Coturnix japonica: one gene and its partners. The protein of the gene in region 1 binds, or shares a complex with, the protein of each later gene. Links are inferred from orthologs where the notes say so. Each region holds a gene or a part of one and is shown in the gene's direction. Other genes may lie near its edges.

Region 1 (8,282 bases):
AGCGGCGTGCAGGCATGGCGGCAGCGGTGCGAGTATTGCCCGCATCCCCCAACTGGTACTGCAGCCGGTGCAGCCACACCAGCGGCGACGGGCGGCTCTTCGGCTTCGCCGCCAGGCACCGGATCAGCGTGTTGGATGTCAGCACCGCTACGCCGACGTTTCACGGTACGGCCTCGACCCCCCCTCCTCCCTCTGCGTTTATATAGGAGCGGCCGAGCTCCCGTTGGAAATGGCGTTCTCACGGGGCTTATCCCGGTGCAGGGGAGCTGATCGGGCACACGGAGCGAATCGCCGCCTTCGCCTTCTGCCCGCACCGCGAGCACAGCGCCCTGTGCGCCAGCGGAGCCGACGACGGCAGCGTGAGGCTGTGGGACGCGGTGGAGCTCGAGCAGAGGGGAGAGCACGGCCTGCACCAGGTGGGACCGGAGCGATGATGCTTGAGGTGCTGGGTGCTGCTTGTTCCCATAGCCTGAGGTGTACGCTGCCGTTACAGCATCGTAATGGGATGCTGGATGCTGTTAGCACCTCCTTGCTGCCGCACCCAGCTGGCTTTGCAGCCTCCTGGTGTTTCCAGTTAGTGCATCTCAGGATGCTGGTAGATAAATGGTAACTCAAACAGTTTAGAACAGGGAGTGCTTGTAGATTAGTTGCTTGTTATCCTGTGCTATACAGTCAGAATGGTTGGCTTTGGGGTTCAGGGGAGCCTCTGTGAGCAGCACAGGGTGCTCCTCAGGGGCTACTCTCAGCTCATTGTAGAAAGTGTGGTGCCAGATCTTCTCCATATCATCCCAGTGTAAAAGTGTTAAAGGTGTATGTTTGGTGGCCCTGCTAGGCAGGGGGGTTGGAACTACATGATCCTTGAGGTCCCTTCCAACCCGGGTCATTCTGTGATTCTGTGTAATGGTTGAGTTGGAAGGGACTTCGATGATCTCTAAGGTCCTTTCCAACCTGCACAAGACCGTGATACTGTGTGACTTCAAAGCCCATCTGGTTCCAACCCACTTCTGTGGGCAGAAACACCTCCCACCATATCAGCCATCATCCACGGCCTTGAGCACCATCAACAATGGGGCATCTTATGGGCCTCACCTTCCTCTGAGGATGATCTCTAGGCAGGCTGTTAGAGCAAGTTTTCCATCCCAAAAGAGCCAACTGCTAAATGCACTTTGCTTTATTTTGTGCTTCAGTTCTTTAAAGAACCCACAAAATGAATTCAGTGGCTAAGCGTGCTCAATGGCTTTACATGTATTCAATTGCCTTTCTTCAGAATGCAATCACAGCGTTACACTGGTCACCCCTTGTGAAAGATCTGATTGTGTCCGGTGATGAAAAAGGGGTAATTGTTTGCTACTGGCACAGCAGAAACGACAGCCAGCAATTCTTCCCAGAGCCTCGGACAATCTTTTGTCTCACTTGTTCTCCTCATCATGAAAACCTGGTGGCTATTGGGTAAGTGTTACGTTTTACTTTCCGTTCTTCCATCTCAAAGTGTCTTGTAAATTAGATTTCATTAACATTCCTCACATTACAGGTTACATCATCTGAAGAGAGTTTCATAGCTTTACTGTCTCTTTACCAACAGCTGCCATTTCAGTCCTTTGGACACCTAAGACTACTGAACAAAGCAGGAACATGAAAGCCTTTCAAAAGAGATGAGAGAGAATTAAAGTTATTTGTGGAAAAGGGAACAGCTTTCCTTATATAAAAGTCTCTATTACTTTATAAGGCTCTGAAAACTGTATTGCTGATAAATTGGTGTTGTTCTTGGAGCCAAATATACTCCCTGGTTGCACTTCACAAACAGAAGGCAGCTGTGTTTGTGCTAGTGCTACACTTGAGCTCCAGTTGACTGGTCTCATTGCCACTTGTGATTGGGCTTCTCTGTAATGTGGAGACACTGATCCTGGGTAATAGCTTGCAAATCAGATTAGTTGTTATTCCGTGAGGGTTTAACAATCTATCATTAACTGAAATCTCTGTTTTTAGCTACAAGGATGGCATGGTGGTTATAATTGATATCAGCAGGAAAAAAGAAGTTCTTCATCGGTTAAGAGGTCACGATGATGAAATTCATTGTCTGGCCTGGTGTCCTGTACCTGGAGAAGGAAGGTTACCTGCTTGGCAAGATGAGCTCCAAGGTACGTAGAAGTGATACGTAGTTTGTGAAGTGATACTTAGCTCAGGAGAATGTCCCTGTGGAGAACTAAATTCCTTATCCCTGTAAGGTCAGTAGGTAGCTAATCAGAGGTAACTAGTTCAAGTAAAATATTTTCTGATCCAGAGTAGTAGATTTTCAATTAACGTTTAGAGCTTTGAATTCCAAAGTATAATAACAGACTTCAATGGTGTTTCCTTCAGAAGAAGGTGATGTTCCAAACGGGGAGCTGAAACAAGATACAGCCATGAAGAAAAGTTGTTACTTGGCTTCAGGAAGCAAAGATCAGACAATACGGATATGGAGCTGTACTAGAGGCAGAAGTAAGTAAGATTAATCATTTGAGTGAGACAACAACATAGGTGAAGTGCTCCTTTCTAACTGTGGGTTTCATTTGCTAACTCAATAGTTTAAATAGTGGGGAGCCTACTTAAAGTTCAGATTCTCAGGTCTTTTTTTCTGAGAATTTGGATGTACAAAGTCGAGACGATCCCTTTCTTTTCCAAAGGTGTAATGACTCTGAAGTTGCCACCCACAAAGAGAAGAGGTGGAGCTGTTGATCCTGCTGTTAAAGAGCGCATTTGGCTCACTGTCCACTGGCCTTGTGGTCGTCCTACAGAAATTGTATCCAGCTCTTTTGGGTAAGTAGGAGACAAAGCAAGTAAAATTAATTGTACATTAATTCATTGATATTTAAAGAACAACTGGCAGGAAACACTGACACCCCCATCTTCCTCCCTTCCTAGTATAGCAAGATAGAGGACAGGCTAAGAGTGTAGGGGAAGTTCAGTCTTCTAGAAGGCTGTTATTTGCCCCACAATTCATTTAATAATCTAACTGAATACTGACTGCTAATGGTACTATTTGTGGTTTTTGCCCATTTAATGGAAGCAGTTGACATTTCCACTTCCAATGTGATTAGGAATGGATATCTGTAGGGTAGTTTTATCTCTGTAGAGGGACGTGTAGTGCATGTGTGTCTATCTGTATTACTCTCACACTTGCAGTATGTGCGTGAGCGCTGATATGATTTTTTTGAAGTGAAGAATGAAATATACACACTTTACGTTTCACAGAGGAGAACTGCTACACTGGGATTTAACTCAACCTGGAAAACGCAAGTGGACACTAATGGGATCTTCAGAAGGGCAAAATCACTCCCGTATTGTGTTCAATTTGTGTTCCCTGAAGCATCAAGACAAAGAGCTGCTTCTTTCCATTTCAATGGACAGAGATGTAAGAACCCATTTTAAAATTAACATCAAAATAGCAGCGGCAGTTCAGTTTGACTGAGTGAAACTAGCACTTTGATGACCACACATTTTCTCCTAAAGCAGGCTTATCCCTGCCCTTTATAACATCATGGCTCAACATTTCTTCTGAGCACAAGTTGTGCATTTCTTTGTTAGCATGTAAGCTCAAGCTTTTACCTTGGAGGACAGAATGGTTATGCCCTCTGGACTTGAAAAATCAAACGTTTAATAGCTGCCTTTTTTGTGGGGGGAGGAAGGGTTGTTATGGTTTGGTTTTGATTTTTACAGGCAGCACAGTGCCTCCTATTTTGAATTTAGAAGAGGACCATATAATTAAACCATAGCCCTGTTCCATCGCAGTCTTGCAGTTAATACAGCTCTGTCTTTGACTCATACTGACACGTGCATACTCTGAGTCTTCCTCTCACTTGTGCTTTGTTTTTCCCCCCCCATCATACCAGTCACTTTATCATTCGTTGTTCCTTAAATATTCTTTAGATAAAGTGCTGGGACCTATCAACTCTAGATTGTAGCTGGACAATGCCTTCACTTGGGGGATTTGTCTACAGTCTCGCCTTCTCCCCTGTGGACCCAGGCTGTCTTGCCATTGGTGTTGGAGACAGCATGATCCGCGTTTGGAATACTTTGTCTATGAGCAACATCTATGATGTGAAAACCTACTGGCAAAGCATAAAATCCAAGGTTACAGCAGTAAGTGTGCTTTACATTCCCCTTTTTTCTTGTCTCTTTTCTCACTCCATTTTTCTCTTTGAGGAATGTTTTTCTCTCACACTGAAGAAGGTTTTTTCCTAACTAAATCCTATAATGCCGAGTTGTTACTTCTGCTCTCAATTTGCATGATATAAATTTTAGAATTGATCAGCATTTTAGACATTTTTAGAACAGTAGGTATTTACAGTACACATACTGAAAATCAGCTGAAGTTTAGGTGGTTATTGCCTCACTTTCTTGGTTTTGTAAACAACTGTGATCATTCCTTGTGTCATCCACAGTTTCCTTTTGTTTGCTAGGAAGTTTAACATGTAGAAAAACTGGCACTGATGCCTTCAGTTTGAATTTGAACAGCAATTGGCTAAATACTAACATCTAGTAAACGATGGCAGCATTACAACATGTTAGTTGATCACACCAAAAGTATGACTCTATGTTGTAATGTAGCAGTCAGGTAGCATTTCAATGATTTCAGTTCCTTTCCTCTTGTCCCAGTAACTGTTAAGGGAAGAGTCCTTGATTCACATCACAATGTGGTTAAATTGAGTTGCTGTAGTTAGCATGGTGAATATAAGGGACAGTGCTTTTGATTTCAGTGCTTAACCTGTTGTTTATTATTTAAAAATAAATTGTCAATTCCTTTTGTCATTATGGGGCTCTTTGTACTTTTCTTGCAGTTAGCATGGCATCCAACTAAAGAAGGTTGTTTGGCTTTTGGAACAGAGGATGGAAAGGTTGGCATATTTGATGCCTTATCCAGCAGGTAAGAAAGTAGTTTTCAGATTCATTAGTATTCGATCTTGCTGGTATGGCAGCACACATAGATGACGTGGTCTTTCCTGAGGTTTACATTTGATATTTGTTAAAAGTTAAATTTAAAGTAGTCAGATGTATTTTAAGTGTATCTTTTCATCTGTTCCTTGTGACTGGCAGCTCTTAAAGAAACCTTACTCAAATTGTGTAACAGTCACCTGTTGGAAGTCATCAGTCAAGGATGAGTTAAGCCAGAAAAAGTTCCATAAAATGAGCAACATGCAGATGCAATTCATTAGGACAGTTTTGTTCTGATTTTAGTAGTGTTCTACAGGAAGCATCAAAGGCTTGGCTGAGCCATTGCTTTAGTATTTTGAAGCACCTGTCGTCTGTTTTCACTACTGGAAATACATTAGTTTGAATTTTGGGTTTTTTTTTTTTTTTGCTTGTTTTGGATTTGGTTTAGTTTCAGTTTGGTTTTGTTAGGGGTTTTATTCTGTATTTCCCCTTGCTGCAATCAGACTACTCCTGTTTCCTTACCTTCCTGCACAGTGCTAAGAATAAGCCCCCACAGATCTCCAGTACTTACCACAAGAAGACTGTATACACATTAGCCTGGGGACCTCCAACTCCTCCACTATCTTCTGGTGAGTGTTATAATGTCTTGTTACAAAGTAGAAATCCATACAGAGCACACAGATGCCACAAAGTTGGTGTGCTTCCCTTCCTTATGGATGTGAGCTCCATCTGCTTGGTAGCAGTCCTTTCTATCCACTAAGGATGCGTTCTGCCTGAGAAACTGGTAACAGTTTTGCCAAGGGAGCAAAATAATCTGTTCTGTATTTTGAAAGGTTCGGGAAGTGGATGGGAGTAGAGCACAACACCACATAGTTACATGTTTGTAATGCGCTGAAATAGCTATGTAGGCTCTCCACAATAATTGGTTAGGATCAAGTACAGATTATTTAGCTCTAACTGTTTTTCTGTCATTAAAACTAAACAGAACAGCTCCATTTGTCTTTTATGCAACCTGGGGGGGTTTATTGGCCAGGATTTAAAGGGAGTTTTAATGTGTGCAGCAATTGTGCTATGGAGAATGAATGAGGGGTCCTTTTAGGGAATTGTATTTTGAGAATTTCTTGCTGCCAGATCTCAGAGAATCAAAGCATACATACAGCATTTTAAAATACTGTTTTGATTTATAGTAAGAATAATTGCTTTTCCTAAGACTGACGAAGAGCATAGTATACTTAGATTTTTTTTTCCTCTGTTGAGTAGGAGAAGAAGGTGAACATCCCTCTGTAACTTTATATAGTTGTGCTGGAGAAGGTATTGTTTTTCAACACAACCCTTGGAAACTTAGTGGAGAGGCAAATGACATCAACAAAACCATCAGAGACACTAATTCAATTAAAGTGAGTATGATTCTTGCCTTTTTCTATGGATTTGTGGTTATAGTTCTGTAGCCCATAGTTGTAGGCTTTTGAAGTTTCTTGGAACATGCAGAACTTACTAAGGAGCATAAGGAGGTGGAACAACAAGGTCCTTTTGGAATCAAGACATTTCATTTGACACGTTCCACTGCGCTGGATGTAGCCAGTGATTCTTCCATCATCTTGCAGTTCATTCAGTCCTCAATTGCCCAAACTTATGTCACTACTACAAAATGCAGCAGACACTTGGGTGGCTTTTGTTTTGCAGACTAATTGTAATTCCTAGTTGCCAGTTGTGTTCTGTTGATGTATTCAAGAGAGACCTAAGAGTTTGTGTGATGGCTGGTAATAGCTGCATCTTCTCTCCACAGCACAAACTACCTGCACATACAGAGATCAGCTGGAAACCAGATGGTAAACTCTTGGCCCTTGGCAATGAAGATGGGTATGTTTCGTTGTCAGGATTGGTGCATACACAGCCTTAACCTACAGGAGTCAGTGTTTTGATGCAAAAGTACTTTTTGTTGTCCTGGTTTGGTTCTTAACTTTCATTGCCTATGTATCTGAATTGTGATAATACAATATTCTTTGCTGGTATTTCATTAAGTTGCTCTTGGCATGGAGGATCTATATCACATTACATCATTTTTTCAAGGATCTACACACAGCTGAAATACACTTTCTCTAAGTACTAAATTGGAATGCGACTTGGATCCAGAACAGAAAATCTCATTTCGTTTCATAGACCATCATTCAGGACAAGAAAAACAAAATCACATTTTCACTGACTGGAGTATTTCTAACACTGTTATTCTTGCATTTCAGGTCAATTGAAATATTTCAGGCTCCGAGCTTGAAGTTGCTCTGCACTATCCAGCAGCATCACAAATTGATTAATGCTATCCGATGGCATCATGAGCATGGGAGTGATCCAGAGTTGAGTTACTTGATTGCTTCAGGCTCAGTCAATGCCGTTATCTATGTGCATAATCTGAAGAGTGTTGTAGGTAATGGTTTGCAGATTCTATCCCATGTCTTGGCATCTTGTTTTGCTTTCCTCTTGGTTTGCATTGCTAGCCGTAGCTTATCCTTTTATTTCTTCTTTCAGAGAGCACTTCAGAAAGTCCTTTGACAATAACAGAACCTTTTCGAACTCTGGCGGGACACACAGCAAAAGTCACAAGCCTTTCTTGGAGCCCCCACCACGAGGGAAGATTGGTATCAGCTTGCTATGATGGCACTGCACAGGTACTTCTCTACAACCACTCAGAAGAGTATTTCTTTTAATTTCAAGTCATCCTTTCTGCAGTATTTTAAAAGCAAGCCAACTGAACAAGAAAGCTTTTCTGAGTTCAGCTGCTTAACTACTGCATATTTACCCTTGGCAACAATCTCACACTGGATACCTGATACAGAGGTATACTTTTTTCTTTTGGCTTATTCCTGCTTTTCCAACACACTGCACAAATGAGAATATTGCAAAGAACACTTTTAGGTTGAATGAATGAACAGAGGGAATGAACAGAGGGAAGCTGAGCAGTAAGTATGGTTTTGTGCCTTGCAGTTTGATTTGTAAGTCCAGTAGCATTTTTGGATTCTTAAGAAAGACATTAAGCTGGCTTATTGGTACATACAAAGAAAGCTTTCTGAGTTTTCTCCGTCTGCTTGCTTGTTATTGAAATAGCTCTGCAAACTCAATAGAAGACAAGCTCCTACAAATGTAAATTGCTAAACAGGAAGCATAGAGTTTCACACCTGGAGGAGATTAAGTAATAAAGTTTCTTTCTTGATCATAAGGTATGGGATGTTATGAAGGAAGAGCCACTCTGCAACTACCGAGGGCACCAGGGCCGGCTGCTGTGTGTCCAGTGGTCACCAGTGGACTCAGATTCTATTTATACTGGAGCTGATGATTTCTCTGTTCACAAGTGGCTCATCTCAAAGCAGGAGCATACA
Region 2 (7,882 bases), on another chromosome or scaffold:
GTAGAAAATTCTGTGTGTGATGGAGACTGGAGGGATGCTTTAAACTTGCACATCTGTGCTTTAGGGGGGACAACCTTCTATCTTTCCTGCCATAAAGCCATGACATTTTGATCAGATGTTGCTAGTCAACTGCTTTAATTTCTTAATAAAAATAGAAAAATAAAATGTGAATATACTGTGAGGCTTTTAAACTTCTGATGAAACTCATTCCTGAGAGTCAACTCTTTGAAAAGGTAGATAATGGCAGGACAAGGGGAAATGGTTTTAAGTTAGAGGGAAGATTTAGGTTGGATGTGAGGGGGAAGTTCTTTACTATAAGAGTGGTGAGTGCTAGAACAGGCTGCCCAGAGTGGTTGTGGATGCCCCATCCCTGGAGGTGTTCAAGGCCAGGCTGGATGGGGCCCTGGGCAGCCTGGTCTATTATTAAATGTGGAGGTTGGTGGCACTGCCCGTGGCAGGGAGATTCATGACATTTTGATCAGATTCATGATTGGAGATTCATGATCCTTGAGGTCCCTTCCAACCCAGGCCATTCTGTGGTCCTGTTAAAGCAAAAATATCTGGCAGTATTTACACTGAATGATACATAGCACTCCATGAAGGACAGAAATCACTGTGATGTTACACAGTGACACTAAAATCAACAGTGTTCTACGTTGTTCTGTAGAACTATAGAACAAGTAGATTCCAACCTCACCATGAGCTTCATATATGTAAAACACTGTCCATTTAGAGTCCTATGGGCACTAGTGGGAGCCATTATGTTCAGAAATACCGATCTGCTAAAATGGATTTGCAGTGCGGAGGTAGTGTTAGCACAGACTTTCCTACCACATTTGTATCTTGCTTTGACAGAAAAGAATTGAAGAACTGAGCAGTCTCTCTCTATACACTGTTCAAACAGGGTGTATATGAAGATTTTAAGACTAGTAAAACTTACTACTTAAAACGTCATGCAGTAGACTTTACAATTCCTTTGACTTTAATATTATTTCCAAAAACCCAGTATAAGAAACAGTTATATTTATACTAAGAGGCTTGATGAATATGTGCTCAGTAATGCCTTTACTGATTTCAAAACATACTTTTTTAAGTGAAGATAAGATTATGGCTAGGATCCAATAACTGTAAAGTTAAAACTGATTTGGCTTTAATTATTCAGAGCCTGAACAAGCACAGAAATCACTGGCGGTCACAGGATTTGGACAGCAATGTTAACATGGTAAGTAGAATTCTTAACAGTTCTGTTTTTTCTAGTCATTACATTTGTGGTTAATTTTGTTTTACAGTGTAATTCAACAACTGGTATTATCATGTCTGTTCTTTGGTGTCTTCAAGATAGCTATATTTCACTGGTTTCAATTATTTTTGTTTAATTTAGCCCAAATTAGAGGATGAAGAAGGTTGGAAGAAGTTCTGCCTGGGTGAAAGAGTATATTCAGAAATAGATGCAGAATCTGACCATGAAAATCTAGGAATTGATTACATAAAGGTGAGTATAAGAGGACTCATTTTCAACTGTTATTTTCACAAATAACTACCAGAAACAACGCTACTGTTTATTATCACGTTGTGCTAAATATAAAGCAAGCTGGCTGATGAGCCCAGTAAGACCCATTTCTCTTCCCTTTTAAGTTGAAATTGAGTGAAGCAGAGAACAAATCTATTAGTTCAGTCAAAAAGTTCGGGGAGTTCCCTCATCTGTTCCCAGCTAAAACACGCTAATTCGCTGCCAGCTGAAGTTTTATCCATAGTCTGGTTTAGTGTTTTGTAAAGTTGCTCCCTGTTTTTGTACATGCTATTCTGTAACAGAATTCAAAATAATTACCAATTACAAATACTAACATTAAATGTTAGTAAGTTCTAACTTAGAAAAAAAAGGTGTTTGTGATGTTTCTGCATTTTCCAACTTGACTTTTTTCAGGTGGGCTTTCCTCCTCTGCTAAGCATTGTAAGCAGAATGAATCAGGTAAGCCTACATCTTAAGCCTTCCTCTTAGAACAGCATAGTGATATTGCAAAAGTCAGTACTTCCTGTGTTCCAGCAGTTGCATAAATCTCAGCTATTTTTCTGTGCTAAGGTGATAGTTTATTTCAGCTGCTATTCAGTGTACACTTACAAGGAAAAAATATTATCTCACCTTTAACTACAGTTATACCAGCAAACATTTACTGTAACTAGATGTAAGTGTATTTTCTCATAATTTCTTTATAGAAATCTCTAATGTTTGAGTGCATCTTTTAGGGGCTTACAGTGTTTAAGTTAAGTTAAATTTAAGTTAAAGTTACATATAATCTCACCCTGAACTGAACGCCATATAGAATTACAGCCAAGTAGAAACATATAATGTTTCTGTATTTAAAGACAAAAATCACATTTGCTCTTTACATAATATAATCCTTTGGGCAGAAGGACAGCAAAACAAAACTCTGTAGATATCGCATTGTGTCTTTATATTTCTCTTTCGAAGGCCACAGTAACCAGTGTCTTAGAATACCTGATAAGCTGGTTTGGAGAGAAAAAATTTACTCCGGAACTGGTAATTCTTAATTTTGTTCTAACTACTTGCATGTGAGCACATGAAACAAGGGATACATTATACTCTCTTCTCTGTGAAATTACTGTAGTTTCCAAATAGTTTTCTAGATCCGTGCACTGTATTCAGTTGTTCTCAAAACTCACCTGACTAGATACTACATTGAACATACGCAGAACTTTCTGAAAGGGTAATTACAAAACAACAGATACAGATCTTTCAGGTACTGCTAAAACTCCTCTGTTTCATTTGTTCCCCACAATAACTTAATCTGCAAGGTCGAAAGAGAGGTGGGGAGAAAAGAGGTTCCCATCATGTTATGATGTGGAAAACCAGTAACCAAAAATCATAAAACCGTGACATCAGGTTAAGTTGTCAGTGTGTAAAACTTCAAGGAAATGCCCATAATTAAAAACTCACTATTTAAATCCACACAGGGTAGATGGTTTTATGCGCTGTTGGCGTGCCTTGAAAAACCTTTGCTACCTGAAGCTCACTCCCTCATTCGACAGCTGGCAAGGCGATGCTCAGAAGTGAGAGTACTAGAGGTAAGATTTAATTTAATGTTCTGCAAAGGACTGTTTTAACTTCACTAATTATCAAGAAAGTGATTTTTCAGCTCTTAAATTCTTGGCATGTTATTTTTCACATTTGAAGTCTGCTAGAAAATGAGAGGAAGACTACAACATATAACATGGCAGGTAACATTTCCCTAGTGGATGTGGTTAACAGAGGAACTGTTCTGGTATTTATTTCTCTTTCAGGAAAACAAGAACGAAGAGCAAGTGTCAGCTCTGAACCTGTTAATCTGCCTAGTTAGCAGGTAATGCAGACTACAGATATAAAATAGCAGAGCATGTCCAGAATAAGCGTGATTATCCTTGTGCTAACATAGATTCCTTTAAAGTGAAAGTCAGTCCAAGCAGTCTGGATATATGTAGCAGACATACTTAGTTACAAGGACTCCAGACAAACTTAAGACTAAAACAGAGGAGACACACTAGTTTTCTTTGGTGATCTCCCTCAATCGTGAAGCTATAAATATGATAGAAATACTAAATTAAAGCCTGGAAAGCAGATAGTTTAACAACTCAGATCAAAGTAAGGAGTGTGTTGCATTAGAGTCTTCTTACTGTATTCCATTTCTCTCCCCTAGGTACTTTGATCAACGTGATTTAGCTGATGAGCCCTCCTAGACTTTTTTGAGAAAACCATTTTGTGTTGCCATAGTACAACCAGCATACAGGTCTGAAGCATGCAGTGTCTTCCTGTGAAGTACAATACAACTTCTTCAGAGCACCCTCAACATAGTAATATATTTGGAACAGCTGTGAATAACGTAAGCTGATCTTTAGCATGAGGGTACTACTCTTCAGTATCCTCATCATAAAATGGTCCATGAATCATCTCTCGTTATCCCTCAAACAACTGTTGTAGTGTAGTAGATTGTTCATTATAAATTTTTACCATCTGAGTAATCCTGTGGATGCTGCCATTAGGTAAAGACTTCTAAGTTTAAGCAGATGTCACAGACGACTGTTCGTTACCTAACACACAACCCTTGAGGTCTTTTTTTAATAAAACTGAAACATACCTTAAAGTGTTCTTAAACATTGTGGCTATTCTCAGTCTTCATAGTACTTAACAACTGCCTTCAGAACTTCAGAAGCCTACACAACTGGGATCCAATGTGTTTTTTTCAGGATATAGTTCCTGAACTTAAATACTACTAATGAAGTACAACTATAGCCAGTGAATTACTGATACAATTATGTTACAAAAACATAAAGGGAGGTAGTACATAGATTTCCTGAGTAATAGTTTGCTGCTTTACAGTGGAAAGTAGCAGAAGCCAGGGGAAAAGGCACAGCTGTACTCAGTACTCTTCAACAGAAGCATCTATTAAACACAATGGACAAACTTATTTTCTGTATGGAATCTTGACAAATACATTAGCTCACCTACTTGACTTAACATATTGAACAGGGAGTGCTTTGCCAAGAATATTGGTGTCTGCTTCATACATACATGATTCTGTTGGGTCCTAATTATCTTCAACAATTGAAAATCCAATTTAAAGGAACTCTCATTTCTGCTGGTAACAGCAGACTGATAGACAGCATTGAATTCCACACTGTACAAGAAACAGATGTCAGTCCCTCACTATTTAACAAAGACAGTTCATTAAGCACAAGTTACTGGTTAAGCCTTTACTGTAACTTGGGATTATTAGTGCTTTTTTACATGGAACAGTAATCTTAGCTGTCAAGTGAAAATGAAAGTAACTACTACAGTTTTAATTCTAGAGAAGCAAATTACAAAATGGCCTGCCAAGGTCTGTGGGCCTAATGGGTGTCACTGAAGCATCCATCTATTAGGCACAGTGCAAGTCCATGCCTTTAATAACAGTATTTTAAAACAGCATGAGTTGGCAACTGAAGAACCCATAAAATGCACTCAGGAAGAATAGCAGTTAGCTAATTCTCTAACCTTACAGTTTCAGAGAAGCCTGAATTGTACGGGTGGACAAACACAACCTCCCTGTAAACCACTAGTGTAAGTGCTCAGTGTTTTCAGTCACAAAGCTCATCCCCACAGAGTACCAACTGCCACGGTTACTTTTATCTCTACTAGGTCTCTAAACAGCACAGTGGCATTCTGCTGGTGCTTTAGATCTTTCCTAGATCTGTCTAATTATCCAGTTACAACTTATCTGAGCCAGCATTCACAGTACCTGAAAAGATCTGAATTTGCTCACATCTTAATTACAGTAAGCCCCTGGTTATCATGTCTGTAACCTCCAGCTTCCCAGCACAGATTGATAGGCTACGAAAGGCAACTATCTAGAGAAGGCTTGATCCATTACAAGCTTCAGAACTTCCTTAAGAGCTTACAGAACAAGTTCCAGTGTTCCTGCTCAACCACACAATTGGATAACATACACAGAAGATGGTTAAAGCAGACAAAAACGTTGTTCTAATGCATTATTCTTTATATCTAGCCTGTTATTTGCAGGTCTCAAAGCATAAATGGAATCACTATCACAGGACATTCTCACATTTCTGAAAGCATAAGGCCTGACTGCCAACAGAAAAGTCTTACAGTAGAATTTGCTTTAAACAAGGTGTTTTCATGCTTACCCACAGCAAGATACATATTGTTACACAAAACTTGTAACAAGAAGTATCAAGCAAACCTCAGTCTCCTCTAGGATCTTGGTGATGACTTTATAGCTTCTTGCTGGCTTAATCATCTTCCTGCACACACTCATTACAGAAGTGAGTTGTAGCTAACAATTAAAAAAAAAAAAAAAAGAACATTAATACTGAATTTATGCACAATAAACTAAAGCAAATTGCCTTTGTTGGATGTAGATGTTCTTAGCTGTACAATTCTTCTGATGCCAAAAAAAAACAACAAACCAACCAAAACCAGGCATTAATTTTAGAAGCATAGGATATACCTTTATTTTTGTAGAAATAAGTTATCTTTATTTGCTCATATCATTTCTATATTCCACTGGATGCTGTTAATTGAGTGTTGATTTATGCAGTGATTGTTCCCTCAGGATAATAGACAGTTGCTGCCACACAGTAAGGAGTGATTACAGAAAGGCAGCAGTTTGGCATTTCTTAGGAGACACAAAACACATTTGTTTCTTATACCAACTGAGTCTTCAATGTGACTTTACTCTGTTCTTAAAATCTACTGTTTGATTTAGTACTACAAAGCTTTTGTTGGTAACTTTTGAGAAGAGAGTTTTCACCATGATGGACATTAATATGTTGGTACAGAATTAATTTCATACTGAGATACGAGAACAGTGTTATTTTAACAAACATTTATTATATACTTTGGAATTGTGCTGCGCGGTGCTATAATTTACACGCTACATACAAAGCTGAACCAAGATACCAAAACCACAGACAAAGGATTTTGAAGGTGGATACCCAGATTTGAACGTGCTCTACATTTTCTGTATCATCACCTGGAATTTACCTGCAAAGAGAATGCAAAGTCAGATCAAAGCATGAACTTTAGATTTATTATTCCAAGTAGCTACTTCCTTTTCATGGCTTTGTTAAAACATTACTAAGGAACATTTCAATATTCTAGCTCCATCTTAATCAGCTTGTGTAGTTAGAATGGACTTCACTTACTACCTTTCTTACTGACTTCTAGAAATAAAAGACCACAATAAGATTGATTTTATCTTCAATTACTGCAGTAGAGTTCTGCATGTATGCCCTTTTCCATCTGATGCCTCCAAATGGAAATGTAAGTTTGTAATGTAGCTTTTCACTTTAATGTCACAGAGGTTCACTGTCATTATTTTTTAACAGTAAAGTGAAGTTGGTATCTAAAGTTATCAAATGAACTAATAACAGAGTGCTATGAGAAGTACTTACATGCAGGCATTGATGAAACTTCAGCCGTTACAATACTCCTTATTCCCAAATTCGATAGGCCCCCTCTGATTAGTCCACAGGTAAATGCTAAATACTAAACATAAAGTTACATTTTAAAGGAGTTTCAGGGGTGAAGCTTGTTGGAAAATATTGAAGAACTGATGACTTATCACTTTGACAGTATAAAGCTATGGAGGTTTTGTTATTGTTCAGCAGTGTACTGTGACAGTGGCAGAAGTTTCTTCCTGAATGGCACACAGAATACAAACATCAGCTCAATGATTTTCCATTTGCATTCAGTAGAGCTCCCACCATCAACCAGTAACTCAAACGTAACGTTTCAATATCACTACGACTGTTTGTTGAAACACTGATCAAATAACTGCTCTCAAACAATGTGCATGTCTGGAAAACAGCTTCGCTTTTGGTGGGTTTGTGTCCATTCAACTACAAAATGTCGTTTTTATTAATGGACCAAGGTGATTCAAATCGAACTCATAGATCCCAAGAAAAGTACCTTTGGTGCGTGTTCTAAATACTGCTTTCCTGCAGACATTTGTGTCAAGAGACGAAATTTGTTGTCTTGTAGAACATAAATACCCTGTTGAAAGAAAGAAAAATAAAAGGTTTTAATCGAGTCTGTAATGAGATGTAAGCAGAATTTTACCAATCAGCATCACCACCAAGCAAACTGGAAAGTTTCTCAGCTGTTTTGTAGGGCGATGTTCAGCAGAGCGCAACTAAAAACTACGAGCACTCTGTGTTTCTTCCCAGCTAAATTAATCCTAGAGCAAGACAAACAGAAAATCCACCAATAACACAAGACAGTGTTACTGGTTTTGTAGCTTAAGTCCTAATCTGGAGCGTTATTAGTACCTGGTGATTAGTCCTTAGGTTGTCTATTTGTTTTTTGAATACGGTCGTCCAAAAATCTTTG
Region 3 (7,248 bases), on another chromosome or scaffold:
GGGAACAGTTCTCGACGTGCCGGTGTTGCTTTGGCGTTGATGCAGTCAATGAGTCGGGGTCGGATCAGTGCTGACGGTGATGCCGTTGTTGGAAATGAGCCTTGATGTGAATAAATTTTTATGTGAATTTTATGCAATTTTATGTGAATTTTATGCAATTTTATGTGAATAGAAGCACCGCGCGGCTGTGTGCGCAGCGTCCTTCCAGCCGGGGGCAGACACCTCCGCTCCGCCAGGGGGCGCTGTGGGATCGCGGCGGCCGCCTGCTCTGCCGGAGCGGAGCGCGGGCTGCGTTGTCTGCTCCGTTGGCCGCCATGGAGCCGGGCAGCGGGGAGCGGGTCGGGCCGTGGGGCGTGTGCGAGGAGACCGCCATCCTGCACGGCGGCTTCCTGCTGGCCTCCAGGCTCCTGCAGCCGCGGCCGTTGAGGGAGCTGCTCAAAGCCGAATGGCCGCTCGTCGGGCCGCCCATCACCGACGCGCTGAGGGAGATCGGGGCCCGCTGCCCTTCACCGCGGCAGCACGGGCTGTGGAAGAAGGAGGCCGTGGCCATCGTGTGGGCCAAGGTGCTTCTGCCCGCCCCGCCCGCCGCCTCCCTGGACCAGGAGTGGAAGGAAGACGCCTTTTTCTCCGTGGGAGCGATGATCCCCGACGTGAACCGCACCGTTCTCTTCGAGCTGGTGAAGGCCCTGGGCGCTCCCCGGCTCTTCGTGCAGTTACTGCTGGCGCTGCCCCCCGACGTGAGCCGGGCTGAGCTGCGGCACCTGGTGCAATATGTCAGCCACGAGACGGCCCCGTCGGATGTCACATTGCTCATGGATGTGTGGTGGGAGGCGCTGAGACAACAGCCGGATCCGGAGGACAGCACGGTGGCTGCATTCGGCTCCCTGGTGCGTGAGCACGGCTGTGAGTGCGCTCTGGATGACGGCTTGCAGCCCCCAAAGAGGTTCAAGGGGGACCCCAGCTCTCTGAATGGCCCTCCTGCTGCAGACAGCCTGCTTGGGGTCCTCATAGAGGGGTTAAAGCAAAGCTACGGCAGCATCACCTCACCCCGCATGAAGTGCTACGCCCTGGGCAACCTGGTGGAGCTGCTGTCTGTGTTCACCGAGCTGAAGCCACAGGGCAGCCCCCTCCCTGTTGCAGAGTACCTGGCCAAGGTCAGCTCAGTGGTCGGCCTCTGGAGCAGTGACACTGAAAGCCAGCACCACCACAGCGAGCTGGATGAGAAAGTGAAGGAAGCTGAGAGGACCATGAGCTTCTCATCCATGGCCAAGCTGTCGCATGAAGAACTCATAGCTGGCTTGGACTTTCTTCACAGCTTGTTGTGTGCCTGGGGAGAGGAGCTGCGGGGTGTCCTGAACAGCTCAGAGAATCAATGCTATGAGAGCTACTGGCTCCTTGATACTCTTTCCACCTTCAGGAAGATCCTGGTTCGCTTCTCTGAGACTGGAGACCTGAGTGAGGATGAGATGCGTGTTGCATTACAACTGGCACAGACAGTTGATGGCTTTCTCACAGAGATCAGCACCACCCAGAAGAACAAGGATTTGGACACCAGCCTTGAATCCTCAGTTGCCATGATAATCATTGAGCAAAAGCTGCACCGGCACATGGAAGTGTGCTCCATTTTTGCTTCTGAAAAGACCTGGGCCTTTTCAAAGGGCTGGGTTGACTGCCTTGTGAAAAACAAGGTTCTTTTCCAGAAACCAGAGCTGGTTTGGAAATTGCTGGAGACTCTGGTGAACTTTGCCACATCCTGTGAAGGCCGTGAGGCCCGGGAGATGCAGATGCAAATGATCAAAGCCATTGTGGAGTGTTACAGTGAGCTTCCATTAACAGACAAAAACAAAGTGATCTCGGGTGTCCTGGAGGCTTGGGGTGGGCCAGGGCTCTCCCTGAACTTGCAGGTTGTCATGGATGGGTTCCAGGAGGACCTCAATGTGACTTTCAACCAGATCACTAAAAGCTTATCTGATGAAGGCATTACCAGGGCTGTGGCTGCTGTGGCTAGGCTTGCTCTGCTGCACCCTGAGGCCACTGTGAAGCAGATTTGTAGTCTTGCTGTAGTCAACCTAGGAGCACATCAGTTCCTGGCGCAAATCCTCTGCTCTTTCCCAGCTCTGAGCTTCCTGGAGACTCATGATGGTCCAGGCAGCCTGGTGGTACGGTGCCTGAAGGAGGCAGCATGGGAAAAGCTTTCCTCTGCAAGGGAGGAGGAACAGTTTCTTGAGTTTTTGGCCTTTCTCCTGCAGCCAAGTTCAGCTGCCCCACTCGTATCACCTGCAGAAGTGACCAAAGCTTTTGTCCTTCCCTATTTGAAATCAGACTGTGCTCAAATTGAGCTGAGCCTGCAGATCCTCAGTAAAGTTTTGGGAATACGGTCCTACCCAGAAGAGCACTGGATCAAGTCCTGCCACCCGTTCCCACTTCTCCTCAGCCTCTGCAAGCTTCTAGATGGCTACACAAAGTACTGGCATCAGCCTAAGGACCAGCTCTTCCCATCCCTGGAGATCAAAGACCTGGTGCTGAGTGTCCTCAGCCAGCTCTGTGAGGTCGTGACTCCAGAAACTGCCTCCTCCCCAGAGGTTTGGGTCCAGTCTCTGGCCTGGCTTCACAGGAAGGTGGCATCGCTGGACTGGACCATTGGTCTCCGACTGAAGAAGTTTTATGGAGACCACTTCAAGAATGAGGTCCCAGCGACGCTATTTGAGATCTGCACATTCCCTGAAGATGAATGGACATCCCAGCCTTTGCCAGCCTACGGGCCGGGCAGTGGACTGCTGGCATGGATGGAGTGCTGCTGTGTGTCCACTGAGCTCAGAGAGACGATGCTCTCACTCCTCATGGTCAACGTGGACAACCCCGAGGAAGTGAATCTCTTCAGCAAAGGCTTCCTGGTGGCCCTCATACAGGTCCTCCCTTGGTGCAGCCACGGTGAATGGAAGAGGCTTGTGCATGTGGTCACAAACCTGCTGGAGAGGCAAGTGTTGCACGTGCCGTACACACTGGAGTATGTGCAGTACATGCCCCTGCTGAACCTCCGGCCATTTGCCTGCTACCTCCAGCTCTCCGTGCTCTTCCTGCGGGGCTTCCAGCTCCTCTGCAGCTCCAGCTGTTCCAACTGGTTGCCACCACAGGCTTGGCTCCATGTGGTCCAACTGTACTGCAGCAGCCTCACAGACCTGCTGAGCTCCATCAAGAGCACCACAGGGCCCCCCTTGCACCCTGCTGAGCACAGGAGCTCCGGGGAGGAGGTGTCCTTTGTCTGCATCCAGGTGTTTTGCCACCTCCTGCACATTGCAGCCATGCTGCCTCCAGACAGTGAGTGTAGTGAGCCGCTGGTGGTGGTGGCCTTGGAGGTCCTCTCTCAGTATGAGGTATTCAGTTCTGCTGATACGTCCCCCAGCAACGTACTGAGGAGAGCCAATGAGAAGCATTTCCTGGAGTCCATCACTGACAATATCAGTGACAAGGCTTTGCGCAGCCCCCTCCTGCAGAAGCTCAGCAAGCTGGGTGCTTAGGGCAGCCTGCTTGGCCAGGGACAGCACGAAGAGCCGAAGGGAGAATCAGGAGAGCACTGACCCTGCTGCAAGGGACCACTATGTGGAAAACTGTAAGATCCGTAATAAACCTCATCTATTTTTCACTTTTGAACTAATTTCTTCCCTGCTCTGTTCCCTCCAAACCTGTCTAAACAGCAAAGCAGCCACATAAACAGCTGTAGACACAACTACTGCTGCTGCGAGCTCAGTCCCTTGGCCCCAACCTTGCTTAATATTGGTCTGGAGTTTCACTGTGCTCACAAAAAGCCTCTGGCACCAGGAAAGTACTTCTGTCAGGCTGTCCTCTCCTCGCTGTGGCTGCACTGCTGTTTGTGCCAAAGCAGGATGCTCTGCGGGATGAGCAGGCACCTTGGGCAATAGGTGTGGGCTGCTGCCCCAGGGTGGGTGCACAGTGGCAAACTGCTGCCTAAATGCCTCCCCACCCAGCAATGAATGGCACGTGGGAGGGAGGCATCCGGTGGTGTGACTCAAGAAAGAAGTCTTTATTGATCTCTTCTGATAGGTACAGTAGTAAATAGGGCAGTGTTAGTGCAAACTGAGATGCCTCAGTGACTGTCTTTACATAAGGCACATTATCTGTAATAAAAACAGCAATATACAAATATTTGCAATGGGTAGCAAGCGGTTTATAACAGCAGCTTGTCTCAATGGTTAATGTAACAGTAGTGCTTGTGCAATAACCGACTGCGTGCTGGAAGAGGCTTTTGTAAAATCATTATTATTCTTTCCAGCCTGTACAGCCATGGCTGGGACAAGATCTGACACCCAGAAGAAATGGTTCTCCCAGCCTGGGCCCCTTCCAGCCATCCTTTTTAGCTTTTAGACAGAATGAAAGGCACAGAGTGGGTGCTGGTCTATCAACTGCTGGTGCAGCTGGATGCTCTGGAACAGAGGAAACTCCAGGCTTGTGCAGGAGGCTGTGGGGAGGACCTGGCTGCTCAGTTTTATGCTGTGTTCAGAGAAAGAAGGGCACCTGTCCAGTTTGTGTATGTCTGCTGGTGGTGCTGGTTCCTCACGCACTGAGCAGTTCCTTCCCTGCCAGGTTCAGGCAGGTCTCCCTTTGTAGGGGACCAGGATGGGGCAGGAAGGACAGAGCTGGAGCTCAGGCTGTACCCAGAGTGCTGCTGGTGTCAGCTGAAGGGAGAGCAGGGGCAAGGAAACATGTTGGGCTTTCAGTTACCTGATAGAGGTAATGAGGCAGATGAACCCATCCCCTTATGCAACTGCAGCCAGGCAAGGGGGTTGAAACCAGCCATCACCTGCCATAGAAGGGCTCTGTGTTGGTGGGATAGGGACTTTGCAATCTCCTGCCCTTCAGTGATGGCTCTTGCCTGCCTGGCTTGCTCTGACAGAGTGCAACCAATCCTTGGATCCTGCTGGGGCTCCAGAGCTGCCCTACTCCCTGTCAGCCACAGACATCACAGTGGTACTGAAAATCCCCTTCGAGTTAAGTGGAGAGTCCTAAGTAAGCTTGAGCCCAGCAGCAGCAAGGTGTGGGCAAGTCAGAAGCTGAATGCAACTGTAGTGTAAAGGCACCATTGGGGAACAGGCTGTGCAGAATCACAGGGCCTGGTTTTGCTCCCTGCTGGAGGAGCAGATCTGAGCCCAGCAGGGACAGCACGCAGCTCCCACATCCCCAGCACTGCTGCTTGGGGCTGGGCATGCTCCAGCATCGCCTACACTGCTGCATCCACTCCATGAGATCCTTTGTGCAGTGCCTCACTCTGTGCTGCCATCAGCTCTGAAAGATGAGGGATCTGTAACAGTCCCTTCTCATGTAACCATTAGTTTGGTGCTGCAGCATTGAACCCTAGAAGGAATGTTATGCTTATGGGGAGACCTCTTCCTTGCTCAAGGTGCAGGAGCAGCGTGGGAGGAAAGTCCCCCTAGTTGAGACCAGCACTGCTGACAGCAGGGCTGCCTCATGGCATCGATGCTGCTGTGCTCCCACGATGGTTCCTGCAGCTCTGACTTTGCAGGCAGAAGAGCTGTGGGGGGGAACAACCCTTCTCCAGCCCTCGTGCTCCGCCAGCCATTACCTGCTCTTGTCAGCAGGTGAGCTGCCGTAGAGGCGGACGGCTTTGCGGCAGATGAGTGTGAACCAGTAGAGCTGCGGGGCGATGAGGGAGGCGTTGGCTATGTTGCAGTGCAGGGGGATGCGGAAAGGCACCATGTAAACAGGGATTCCCATCTGCCTGCCATAGGCTGCGTACATGAAGGGGAAGAGGAGAATACGGCAGAGGAAGAAAGTCACCAGGATGAGGATCCCGTTCACCTTGTGCAGCAGCGTGTCCTGCATCTTCAGCTGGGAAAGGAAGAAGGCGAGCATAGGGTGAGTGCTGTGTGAGCAGTGCAAGGGGGGGATCCTGGGGTGGGGAAGGGGTGCAGGCTCCCAGAGTCCCCTGGAGGCAGCAGTGACCCAGGCACCCACCCCATGGCACCCACCCTCCTCACATACCTGCATGAGGATTTTGCCCAGCGATACAAAAGGAGTGCTCAGCTCTGCTGTGAAGATGCAGCCCACGAAGAAATCCCCCAGCTCTCCCCTGAAGTGCTGCAAATAACAAGAGTAAGCACGGGACCTTCCCCACTGTGACATGTTTCATATACAAGGCTCTGCTAATGGATCTTGCTGCTTTCAGGTTAGCTGGGAGCTGATACTGAGCACCTCCACATCTCCTGGCAGGCAGAGATGCTTTCCAAACTCAGCTGAAATGGTGTTGACTGTGATGCCAGCCAAGTAACAGGCACAGATCCAACACACACAGCTTGAGGAAAGCTTCCTCTTGGTCAATGTATTTGGTATCAGCTGATGTCAGTTCCTTGCCCTGGAGGCGTTCATGAAACAGGGAGATGTGACATTGTGGAATATAATTAGTGGGCATGGTGGGGGTGAGCTGGGGTTGGGCTTGGTGATCTTAGAGGTCTTTTCCAACCTTAATCTCACAATCCCCCCAGGCAGCTCAGTGTTGGGCTCCCACCTGTCTGGGTTCACAACATCCATGCCTGGCCCTCACCTGGGTGATAGGGGTGAGCACGATGAGGATGAAGAGGTGGTGGGTGACCATCAGCCGGTCCTGCAGGAGGAAGCTCCACACACTGGTCAGCGAGTGCTTCCTCTCTACTATGCCTTTCTCTTGGCTCTTGTGCCAGTGGCAGAGGTACATGACGTAGATGTCATAAGTCATGTAGGGAACCAGGACCCAGACGTATTCCACAGCCAACCAGTGCCTAAGGAGGGAGAGCACAGAGGTGTAGCAATGGGTCTGGGAAGCCCACAAGGTAATGTTCTCACACTGTGTGCCAGGGGAGGTTCAGGTTGAATATCAGGATAATTTATTCTCAGGAAGAGTGTTCAGGTAGTGGCACAGCTGCTTAGGGAAGGGGGGAGACCCCATCCTTGGAGGTGTTCAGGAACTGTGGGGATGTGGCACTGAGGGATATGGTCACTGGGCACAGTGGGGTTGGACTTAATCCATTTAGTCTTTTCCAGCCTTAACTCTGTGATCAATGAGTTCGGTGGGTTTATCTGGACAAGGAGCCTCAGCTCAGCCATCCCAGAGGAAAGCTATGTGAAACAGCAACAGAACAATGGGTGATTCCTGAGTGCAGGCACTGAGTGGGGCACGGCTGCCTTTATCGAGTCAGTGCCATTCAGTGCCTGCCCGAGCCATGCAATTAACCCTGC
Region 4 (8,780 bases), on another chromosome or scaffold:
CCAGAGTGGCAAAAACAGAACTCTGCACTTGCTTTTGTTGAACTTCATGACAAACACCAGACATAAACATCCCTTTGCAAACATACTAGCTGTCCAAGGTATTGGCTGCATTATGCCTGTCCCACTTGAGATCATTCACGAACTTCCTAGAAGTGCACCCTCCACTGCCATCCAGGTTGTCAAAAAAGATATCTGTTGGTCCCAACACCAATCCCTGAGGTTGGACTTTGAGACAGCATTCCTTGAGCTCAGAAGTGCAGTCAATTTTCCTCCCATCTATCCACTTACATATTATCATTTTGACTTTAAGGACACTCTGAAAGAATGCAGTAAAAGTCCTGCTGAAGTCAGGCAACATGATTGGTCAGGTGTTGTTTGTCCTTGGTAAATTCATGCTGACTATTGCTGATTGTTTTTCATGGTCTAGAAATTGCCTTACAAACTTCTCAGGAACACAGATGAGGTCTACTGCAGGGCCGTAGACACTGGATCCTCCTCTTGTCTTTCCTGAAGTTGAATGTGTTGTTTTCCTTTTTCCAGTTCTGAACAACCTCCCTTGATCTCCACAACTTCTAAAGGTGATGGAGAGCAGACATGCAGTGACACTGATCCATTCCCTTGGCACCACTGGAAGGATCCTGTTTAGTGCCACAGATTTGTTTGTGTACAGTCAGCTTAAGTACTTAAGGATTGCATGATAAAGTCTGTCTGCTGTTGTTTATAGGCTGATGTTTGAATTACTGTAACTTTTCAGAACAATAAGCATAAATATAATCTGTAATGAAGAACATCTTCCAAGTGAAAACATCAAAGCAGCTTAAAATTATGAATTAATTCAGCTTGATCTCATTCCTGAAAATTTGTTTTACTTCCCTTACAGTGAGGGAAGTATTACAGATGTGATAATACTTAGAAAATAAGCATTTTGCTAAATCGTTTCCTAGAAAGTGAGTCAACTGGCAGACAATTTGAATTCTCTTTTAGCAAAGCTGTTTTAATCTGATTCACTTTCACTGTGAATTTAAATCCTTTGCAGAAGTGCATACTTATTTACATAGCCTGAATTATCAAGTGGTTCCAATATGAGACTTGAAAAGAGGTGGAAAAAGAATATTACGTTACTCATAACAATGTGTCCTCCTTTATAACGCAGTCATGCTTCAAACTGCCTAGGGAGCAAAGCTGCTGGTTGAGAAATGAAATATAAATGGCTAATTTCACCTGTAATTTAGCACCCATAACACTCATTTGTCAGTTGGCTACAATAACTAAGCACGGTAATAGACTTGTTTGTCTCTTTCCTCTGCATTTCTCCTTCTCTCTCCCCTGTTAACACTTCAAGATAATCTGTTCCCTTTCATCCCACCAAGTCTCTATAAAGCTGTTCATTGACATTTGTTCCTTCTATAAGTCCATATCACGTTCATCAGATTATCATAAAACTCTACTGTTATATGAATTGATTGAACACGATCAATCCTAGTACAGGATTTTGGAACATGGAATTGACTCTTCTGTGAAGAATTTTAGCCCTGACTTTGTCTGCTTGCAACTTAGACCCCCAGGAAATTTTCCGTCTGACTGGAAGACAAAGAACTGGAACATTCAGAACATGCACCAACAATAGAGTTACTAAGACAATGAGGATTATTAAAAATGGTTTTATCTTTGCTGTAATAGCTTCTCTGATCCTTGGTCTTCAGGTTCCATTCTGTCCTTTGAAAGGAGAAAGATGACTGTGCTGGGCAAAAAGATAGGATAACAACAGGAGAAAGTTATGTCATCACTTATCAAACTTTAAGTAGGCAGCGTTTTCACTGAAAAGCTATGACACTACTTTCCAGCTCTTTTCCCTGTTTAGTCCCTTTTGCCTCTGTTCACATTCTCAAAAGATACTGCCATGTACACTCAACAGAAGAGTTTCTGCGCTGCAGCCCTCACATTCCCTACATTTGTGTTATAATAAGGTTCATGAAATTAGAAAAACAATGCAGTTACCTGCCATGAAGGGCTGTTCTATAAAAGAATCATTGCCTTGATGCACACTTTTCTATTATTTGTAAGATATGATTACTTCTCTCATTCAGTTACTTAGTGATATTTGACTGCTTAAGGCTGGCTCTCAATTGTAATTATTCCCCAGTGAAAATACAACCACATGCTCTGCAGTTGCTCTCATATCTCCTCATAGCATCTGCATCACATCATCCTTCAGCAAACAGCTATTCCTCTTCTTCTTTTCTTCCTAATTTATCTGTACAAATTAATAAGGAACATTTCTCCAAAGGAAAACTCAACAGAGGTAAGGAGCATTGGTGTGCCTACTCATTACACTGCGTCTTCAGATTATTAGAGTAATTAAGATTCAAGGTCATCTAAGGGATTGCCCTGCTGCTGCCTCTTGTGACACTGGAAGCTTTCCATTCACTTGTTGAACTGATTCATTTGAGAGACCTAAGCATCCAGTAGCTTTAGTGCTATGTCCATAAGGCAGTTTTGTACAAGCTGAAATCACAATCAAAAAGTCACCCCAGAGCAGAATCTCTCAGCTAGAGCGGTGACGTGCTAATAGATATGTACGGAGCTCCCCTCAGTGGCAAGAGAAGGCATTTTCAACATTGTTATCTAGCGCAGGAGCAGAAAGGAATCTTTGGAAATGTAAATATGTACACCAAACTCCTTGATTCAATCTCTGCTTGATCTACTTTAATCAAAGCACTAGAAACATGATTTTTCACTAAGATAGCTTTATTCATGTTCAGCAACGATTTCTAAGAAAATTCAATCACTGTGAAAAGATGTTTCTAATCAAGCAAATATTATAAGTCACCAGTGACAGAGTCAGGCCCAGGTGCTTTATAACATCTGATTGGCACACTTGCTATTCTGTGCAGTGATGGGGTGAATTGCTCTATATGATTACAAGTCCCTGATTACTTCCTGACAAGCTGGAGTTAATGAATATTTATTTAATTCTATTGGATAATTGTCTGGATAATGAACAGATAAATATGAAACACTGAATAAAAAAATGTGATGTTTTTTTTTCCCCCTTACTTTCCTGCTGTCTGATACACAACAACCTTGACTAAAAACCAAATAAAACAAAATCTTACTATTTTTATTCTAAGCTTGTGAGGCTTTCATTTGTAAATATCTACTCTTACCACCTTTCCTATTTCCAGTAATATCTCCAGCCTTTCTTGAAGACCTGAGTGCCTGTTTTTCACTTTGAGGTTTCTCTTAGAATCTTTGTATTAAAAGTTGTCTAGTCTGAATGCACTGAATTAATCCATTTCTAAACCAAAGATTGTCAGACTGTAGGGAATAAACACACCTAAACGTTAGTGTTACAATGGATTTAAGAGGCAGGGATAATCTCTTTGGACTTTAGTACTTAATCAAATTTTGATTGGTATGATGTGGTCCCCTGTAACATTCCCTCCAAATTGGAAATAAATGGATTTGATGGGCAGACTGTCTGACAGATGAGGAACTTGTGAGATAGTATGCAGACAGAGGTGGTCAGTGGCTCAGTGTCAAGGTGGAGATCAGTGACGATCCCATAAGAGTCAATACTGGGGCTAATGCTCTTCAATATGTTTATCAATTACATCAATGGTGGGATCTCCTCCCCAGAGCAGTTTCCTCTTTGAACACCACAGCTCACGTACCGGCTACCAGCACTTCCCCTTCCGCACCCGCTCTCTGACGTATTTCCTCTCCGGAACGCTTCCTCCGCCGTCATTTCCTCCGCTGCCGCCAACACCGCGGTCGCCGTTTCCCACCCGGCTGGAGTGTAGCCGCGTCCCCGCCCAGCTCCCTGCGCGTCCCGAGCTCAGCCGCCGCCATGGCCATGAGGCAGACCCCGCTGACGTGCTCCGGGCACACGCGACCCGTGGTGGACTTGGCCTTCAGCGGCGTCACCCCTTACGGCTACTTCCTTATCAGTGCCTGCAAGGGTGAGCGTGGCTGGGGGGGCGAGGGGTGGGCGGCCGTGCTCGTTTCACCGGCCCCTTTCAATAGTCGCAGTGGCTGGGCCTGCTCCGCACTGAGGCCTTGTGGGTTGCGGGCCGCTGTTGGCGGGTTGCGCGTGGCTGTGGCCATAGCCACCTATTTGAGAGGTTTGCGATGGGGAGAGTGGGGAGGAGGGTTGAGGTGAGCGTTCAGTGGGCCCTCCGTGTTCTAAATACCTGCTTCCAGCGTGACCAGATGGAAAAGGGAACCGGTGGGAGGCTGGTTCTGCCGGGTTTTAGCCCGCAGGGCTTTGAGGCTCCCATTCATTCAGGCTGAATCCCACTTGCGAAGGAAAGGCTTGAAAATCGTTATCTGAAAGTAGCTATAACTTTTACACACTTTAAAACCAGCTCCTTTGCAACCAAGGTAGCTGCCTTGCTGATTGCGGAGCAGTGATTTCTGCTTCCTTTCCCACAAGAACTCTCTTCTGCTTATTTATGAGAGTAGCATTTTCATTTCTATGCATATGAGTTAATGTTCACTTGTGTTCACAAGTGTAAAAGAACATTCCTCGATGTCTCTGAGGACTTAATGTTCAGCTCTATTCATTGCATGAATTATATCTGGTTGTGTCCTAGCAAAAAATAGTCACAGTAAAGGCTTTCTATTTCGTTATTACAGCATATCTCTTTGTGTTTTAAACATCTCTCATTACAAACCCCAGACTCCTTTTTTGTGTACTGTTAGTCTGAAAATATTGTTCTAAAATGAATTGAACTGACCTGCCCAAGGAACACTTGGCTATATTAGAAAAGAAAAAACAGCAAAAGGTGCTCCTTTTCAGAGGTGCATCTGTACATTTAAGTTCTTCAGCTATACCATTTCACAGTGTATATGGTGTTTCCATTAAGGGAGGCCAGTCTGGTGGCAGTTTGATTGCTCCATGTTGGTGTGAGGGAATTGTTTCCTAACACAGCTTGCTTTTTTTGTTATGTTGTCTGAATATTGGTTTTGTTTTTCCAAAGATGGAAAGCCTATGCTACGTCAGGGTGACACAGGAGACTGGATCGGCACTTTCCTAGGTCATAAAGGTGCTGTCTGGGGTGCTACGTTGAACAAAGATGCCACTAAAGCAGCTACAGCAGCCGCAGATTTTACAGCGTAAGTGATTACCTGCTTTTGGAGTCTTGATTTTAGTCAATAGCCTTTTTTTTTAATATGGCTGTAGTAAGTTGCTGTGGTTTTGTTTTTGTTTAAGTTGTTACTTTATATCTGTATTACAGCCTAGAATTTAAGGTTTTTATGAGTAGCTACAGCTAATTCTATCTTGCTGAGCAACTGTGGTTGCTTCTTGACATATATACTTAGTTATAGTGCTGATTTATTGGAATAAACAATGCTGTGCAGTTCTCGACTTCAGTACTGTAGTTATACGAGAGTGGCAAGAGTGATCTTCGTTTTGTGTACCACTTTTTATTAGAAGAAGACATGCAGAAATATTAATGAATTATTTCTTTTATTTTTGTTTTGCTTGTTTGAACTGTTTGCAGCATACATTAATATATTTGACAATTCAAATCCTGTTATTAGAATTAAGTCCATAAAAGTTGCAGAGAAGAGCTGCCTTTGTTTGTCTTAAATCTAAAATGCTGCTGATGTGTTATCCTGAAGAAATTAGTGAAAGAAAATGATGGGTCAGTAACAAGAAATTCTTCAGTGAAAGAATATGAGGTCTGTAGTTCATTACAATGTAGCATTTAGGATTAAAAATGTTATGATAGTATCAGGAAGGATTGTATAGGGTAGATTAGGAGAGACAACTTAACTTGTGTGTTCACATTTATCCTGGAGCTATTGAAATGTACGTGTTCTCTCTTGTCATTTAGCAAAGTGTGGGATGCTGTGTCGGGAGATGAACTAATCACATTGGCTCACAAACACATTGTCAAAAGTGTGGATTTTACACAGGTATGGAAAATCTTTATAGCATATTCAACAGAGAGGTAAGGTCTTCGGCATATTTTTTTATTTGCTACTTTTTTTATACATATGCTTAGGCTGGCAAGTAATTTAGCATGCATTTAAGCTTTGCTCTTACAAACAAGTTGTAATAAATGTTTTAGAAACTGAGAGAAATAACTGGTATTTTAAGGCTTATGGATGAAGGCTGGTATTTCAATTCAAAGTAGAGTTGACCCTTTATAACTTCTGTTTCAGGATAGCAATTATCTGTTAACAGGTGGACAAGATAAATTGTTGCGTATCTATGATTTAAGCAAGCCGGAAGCAGGTGAGTCTGCACTTACAACTGGTTACTGTTGGTTTTGTTTGGTTGATTTTTCTTGCGTGTGAAATTTGTTGTGAATCACAAAAGACACACTTGAGGCTCGTTGTACAAAGAATGTGTCTATAACAGTTTTCTATACTAAATCAAATTGTTTTAGTCTTTGAAGTAAAATAGAGCTTATCTATGAAGAGATTTAAGGATAGTGTGATTGACTTTAACAGGGACTTAACTATGACTAGGTCTGAATAAAGTTACACTACCCGAAAGGCAAAAGACTTTTCATATTGAAGTGTGCTTAAATTTGTATTAATACTGAACTGCTGAAAACTGATACCAAGCTAATTAATATTGATTTTAACCTAGTGAAGCTTTTTAAGTTTAGACAATTGGATAGATTCCTAGATTGAAATCTGTAAATAAAAGTCAGTAGTGTTTGAAGTAATTTTGCAGCTTCTAGTAAATAGAAATCCATGTAGATGACCAGAGTTCCTAAACTACTGCACAGTGTTAATTTATATTCTTATGTGTACTGAAATACTTGTTCTTATTTCAAGAACCTGATGTTGTCAGTGGGCATACTTCTGGTATTAAAAAGGCTTTATGGAGCAGTGATGACAAACAGATTCTTTCAGCTGATGATAAAACTGTCCGGTAAGGAAAAAAAAACCAAACTTCTAGTAGTTTTCTCTGAAGCTCACTTTTACTTATTGTGTACAGTTTCTGTCAGAGGATTGTTATTTCCTTGGGAAATAGTAATAAAGGCTGTTTGATTCTAGATTAGAATATGCACATGTAATCCAGTTTTTCATGTTGTTGAAGATATAATTTTTCTGTTAATTCTGATTTGCACCATAAACGTGTCCTCCCTGATAGGAAGAGGTGGTCTCTGATAACCGAATAGTAGAATTAATTTGATTTTTCTAATCCTAGAGGAAATTAAATTCTAGGTGAGGTCTTGTGAAGACATGCTGAAGTGTCTCTGCCTTGTCTTCTGCAGTCAAGCCTTGAAACATGCATTGGGCGAGGGTTGGGATAAAAGGCAGGGAAGCCTCTCTGGAGACAGTGCCTTCTTAATAATCATAACTGTCTTTCTCTTCCATGTGGTAAGTTGAGAAAGCTTTTCTGGTTTTGTAAGATAGATCATCCCCTTAAATGTAGATGGGCTAAAGCCTAGACAGACTTGGCTGCTAGGGAGATGAAATGATAAAGATCCTTCCTCAATCTATGCTGGCCAAAAAAGAAGGAAGATGTGCCTTGCTGCTTCCACAACTTTCTGGTTGATGTGATCAGCATCATCTCATGTCTACTTGTCTCGTTATTCTTATATTTATGGCATAGAGTAATAGTGGCTTTCTGCTTTGTGGAAGGGCAGTAGATATAGAGTGAAATCACAGTTGCAGTCTCCTTGTTTCTGTTTTGGCTCCAATTCTTTTTCAGTTCCTTCATTCAAGATAGTCAAGAGACTGGTCTTTTATTTTTTCTCTGAATTTTAGAAATTGAAATAACAGCATTGAGTTATTTAATGAAATAAGAAACTCATAATTTATAGAATGGTTTGGGCTGGAGGGGACCGTTAAGAACATCTAGTTCCAACCCTCCTGCTATAGTCAGGGACACCTCCCTCTACACCAGGTTGCTCCCAGCCCCTTTCAGCCTGGCTTTGAATGCCTCCAGAGTGGAAGCATCCACAACCTCACTAGGCAACCAGTTCCAGTGTCTACCCTCAAACCAAAGAATTTCTTCCTAATGTTTAGTCTAAATCTACTCTCTTCCAGTTTAAAACCATTTACACTTGCCATGTTCCTATGTGCCCTTCTAAAATGTCCCCCTCCAGCTTTCCTGTTGGCCCTTTCAGGTACTGGAATGTTGCTGTAAAGTTCCTGTAGAGCATTCTATTCTCCAGGCTGAATAGCCCCAGCTCTCTCAGCATGTTCCCGTAGGGGAAGTGCTCTAGCCCTCTCATCATCTTGGTGGCCTTCCTCTGGTCCCACTCCAACAGCTTGATATTCTTATGCTGGGTGTCTCAAAACTGGCCACAGTACCTCCAGGTGAGGTCTCATGCAGGTAGTTTAGAGGGGCAGGATCACCTCCCTCGACCTGCTGGTCACACTTCTCTTGTGTTGAGTTTCATCAAATTACACTCCCAAATCCATCTCCTCAGGTCTGTTCTCAGGCTAAAATCTGCTCAACCTGTGTCTGTGCTTAAGATTGCTTCAACCCCAGTGCAGGACTTTGCACTTGTCCTTTTTGAACTTTGTGAGGTTAGTGTGAGCTCACCTCTCAAGCCTGTCTGGCTTGAGATGCATCCCTTCTCTCTAGTGTGTCAGCTGTACCTCAGCTTGGTGTCATCTGCACATTTGCTGCACTCAATCCTACTGTCCATATAATCTATAAAGATATTAAATAGTACCAGTCCCTGAGGAATGCTACTCGTCACTGGTTGGATGCTGAGCTGTTAACTGCAACTCTTGAGTGCAACTGTCCAGCCAATTCCTAATCCACTGAGTGGTCTATCCCTCAAATCCATTTTCTCCAT

Evidence for each region.
Region 2: GEMIN5 (region 1) and GEMIN2 share a complex: the UniProt entries of both Homo sapiens proteins name them as parts of the SMN-Sm complex. The link is inferred for Coturnix japonica from reciprocal best matches to the Homo sapiens genes GEMIN5 and GEMIN2.
Region 3: GEMIN5 (region 1) and GEMIN4 share a complex: the UniProt entries of both Homo sapiens proteins name them as parts of the SMN-Sm complex. The link is inferred for Coturnix japonica from reciprocal best matches to the Homo sapiens genes GEMIN5 and GEMIN4.
Region 4: GEMIN5 (region 1) and STRAP share a complex: the UniProt entries of both Homo sapiens proteins name them as parts of the SMN-Sm complex. The link is inferred for Coturnix japonica from reciprocal best matches to the Homo sapiens genes GEMIN5 and STRAP.

The regions. Positions count from the first base shown.
Region 1 is NC_029528.1:6,014,009-6,022,290, reverse strand, and holds part of GEMIN5 (gem-associated protein 5), read left to right. Parts: 5' UTR 1-14; coding exon 15-165; intron 166-261; coding exon 262-416; intron 417-1,267; coding exon 1,268-1,449; intron 1,450-1,986; coding exon 1,987-2,138; intron 2,139-2,346; coding exon 2,347-2,478; intron 2,479-2,663; coding exon 2,664-2,796; intron 2,797-3,231; coding exon 3,232-3,391; intron 3,392-3,906; coding exon 3,907-4,119; intron 4,120-4,817; coding exon 4,818-4,903; intron 4,904-5,315; exon of another isoform or gene 5,316-5,445; coding exon 5,446-5,540; exon of another isoform or gene 5,541-6,171; coding exon 6,172-6,308; exon of another isoform or gene 6,309-6,697; coding exon 6,698-6,771; exon of another isoform or gene 6,772-7,151; coding exon 7,152-7,333; exon of another isoform or gene 7,334-7,434; coding exon 7,435-7,574; exon of another isoform or gene 7,575-8,123; coding exon 8,124-8,282. UniProt on the Homo sapiens protein: The SMN complex catalyzes the assembly of small nuclear ribonucleoproteins (snRNPs), the building blocks of the spliceosome, and thereby plays an important role in the splicing of cellular pre-mRNAs.
Region 2 is NC_029520.1:34,104,976-34,112,857, forward strand, and holds the end of GEMIN2 (gem-associated protein 2), read left to right. Parts: intron 1-1,162; coding exon 1,163-1,222; intron 1,223-1,381; coding exon 1,382-1,492; intron 1,493-1,924; coding exon 1,925-1,969; intron 1,970-2,470; coding exon 2,471-2,539; intron 2,540-2,973; coding exon 2,974-3,084; intron 3,085-3,248; exon of another isoform or gene 3,249-3,300; coding exon 3,301-3,359; exon of another isoform or gene 3,360-3,692; coding exon 3,693-3,732; 3' UTR 3,733-4,147; downstream 4,148-7,882. Other genes in the region: TRAPPC6B (trafficking protein particle complex subunit 6B), read right to left, coding at 6,504-6,535, 6,946-7,039, 7,463-7,546, 7,822-7,882. UniProt on the Homo sapiens protein: The SMN complex catalyzes the assembly of small nuclear ribonucleoproteins (snRNPs), the building blocks of the spliceosome, and thereby plays an important role in the splicing of cellular pre-mRNAs.
Region 3 is NC_029534.1:5,683,060-5,690,307, forward strand, and holds the start of GEMIN4 (gem-associated protein 4), read left to right. Parts: upstream 1-118; 5' UTR 119-131; coding exon 132-3,518; 3' UTR 3,519-5,595; coding exon of another isoform or gene 5,596-5,865; 3' UTR 5,866-5,892; intron 5,893-6,018; coding exon of another isoform or gene 6,019-6,114; intron 6,115-6,577; coding exon of another isoform or gene 6,578-6,791; intron 6,792-7,053; 3' UTR 7,054-7,248. Other genes in the region: TLCD3A (TLC domain-containing protein 3A), read right to left, coding at 5,596-5,865, 6,019-6,114, 6,578-6,791. UniProt on the Homo sapiens protein: The SMN complex catalyzes the assembly of small nuclear ribonucleoproteins (snRNPs), the building blocks of the spliceosome, and thereby plays an important role in the splicing of cellular pre-mRNAs.
Region 4 is NC_029516.1:57,763,446-57,772,225, forward strand, and holds the start of STRAP (serine-threonine kinase receptor-associated protein), read left to right. Parts: upstream 1-3,727; 5' UTR 3,728-3,850; coding exon 3,851-3,962; intron 3,963-4,982; coding exon 4,983-5,118; intron 5,119-5,843; coding exon 5,844-5,925; intron 5,926-6,174; coding exon 6,175-6,247; intron 6,248-6,798; coding exon 6,799-6,895; intron 6,896-8,780. UniProt on the Homo sapiens protein: The SMN complex catalyzes the assembly of small nuclear ribonucleoproteins (snRNPs), the building blocks of the spliceosome, and thereby plays an important role in the splicing of cellular pre-mRNAs.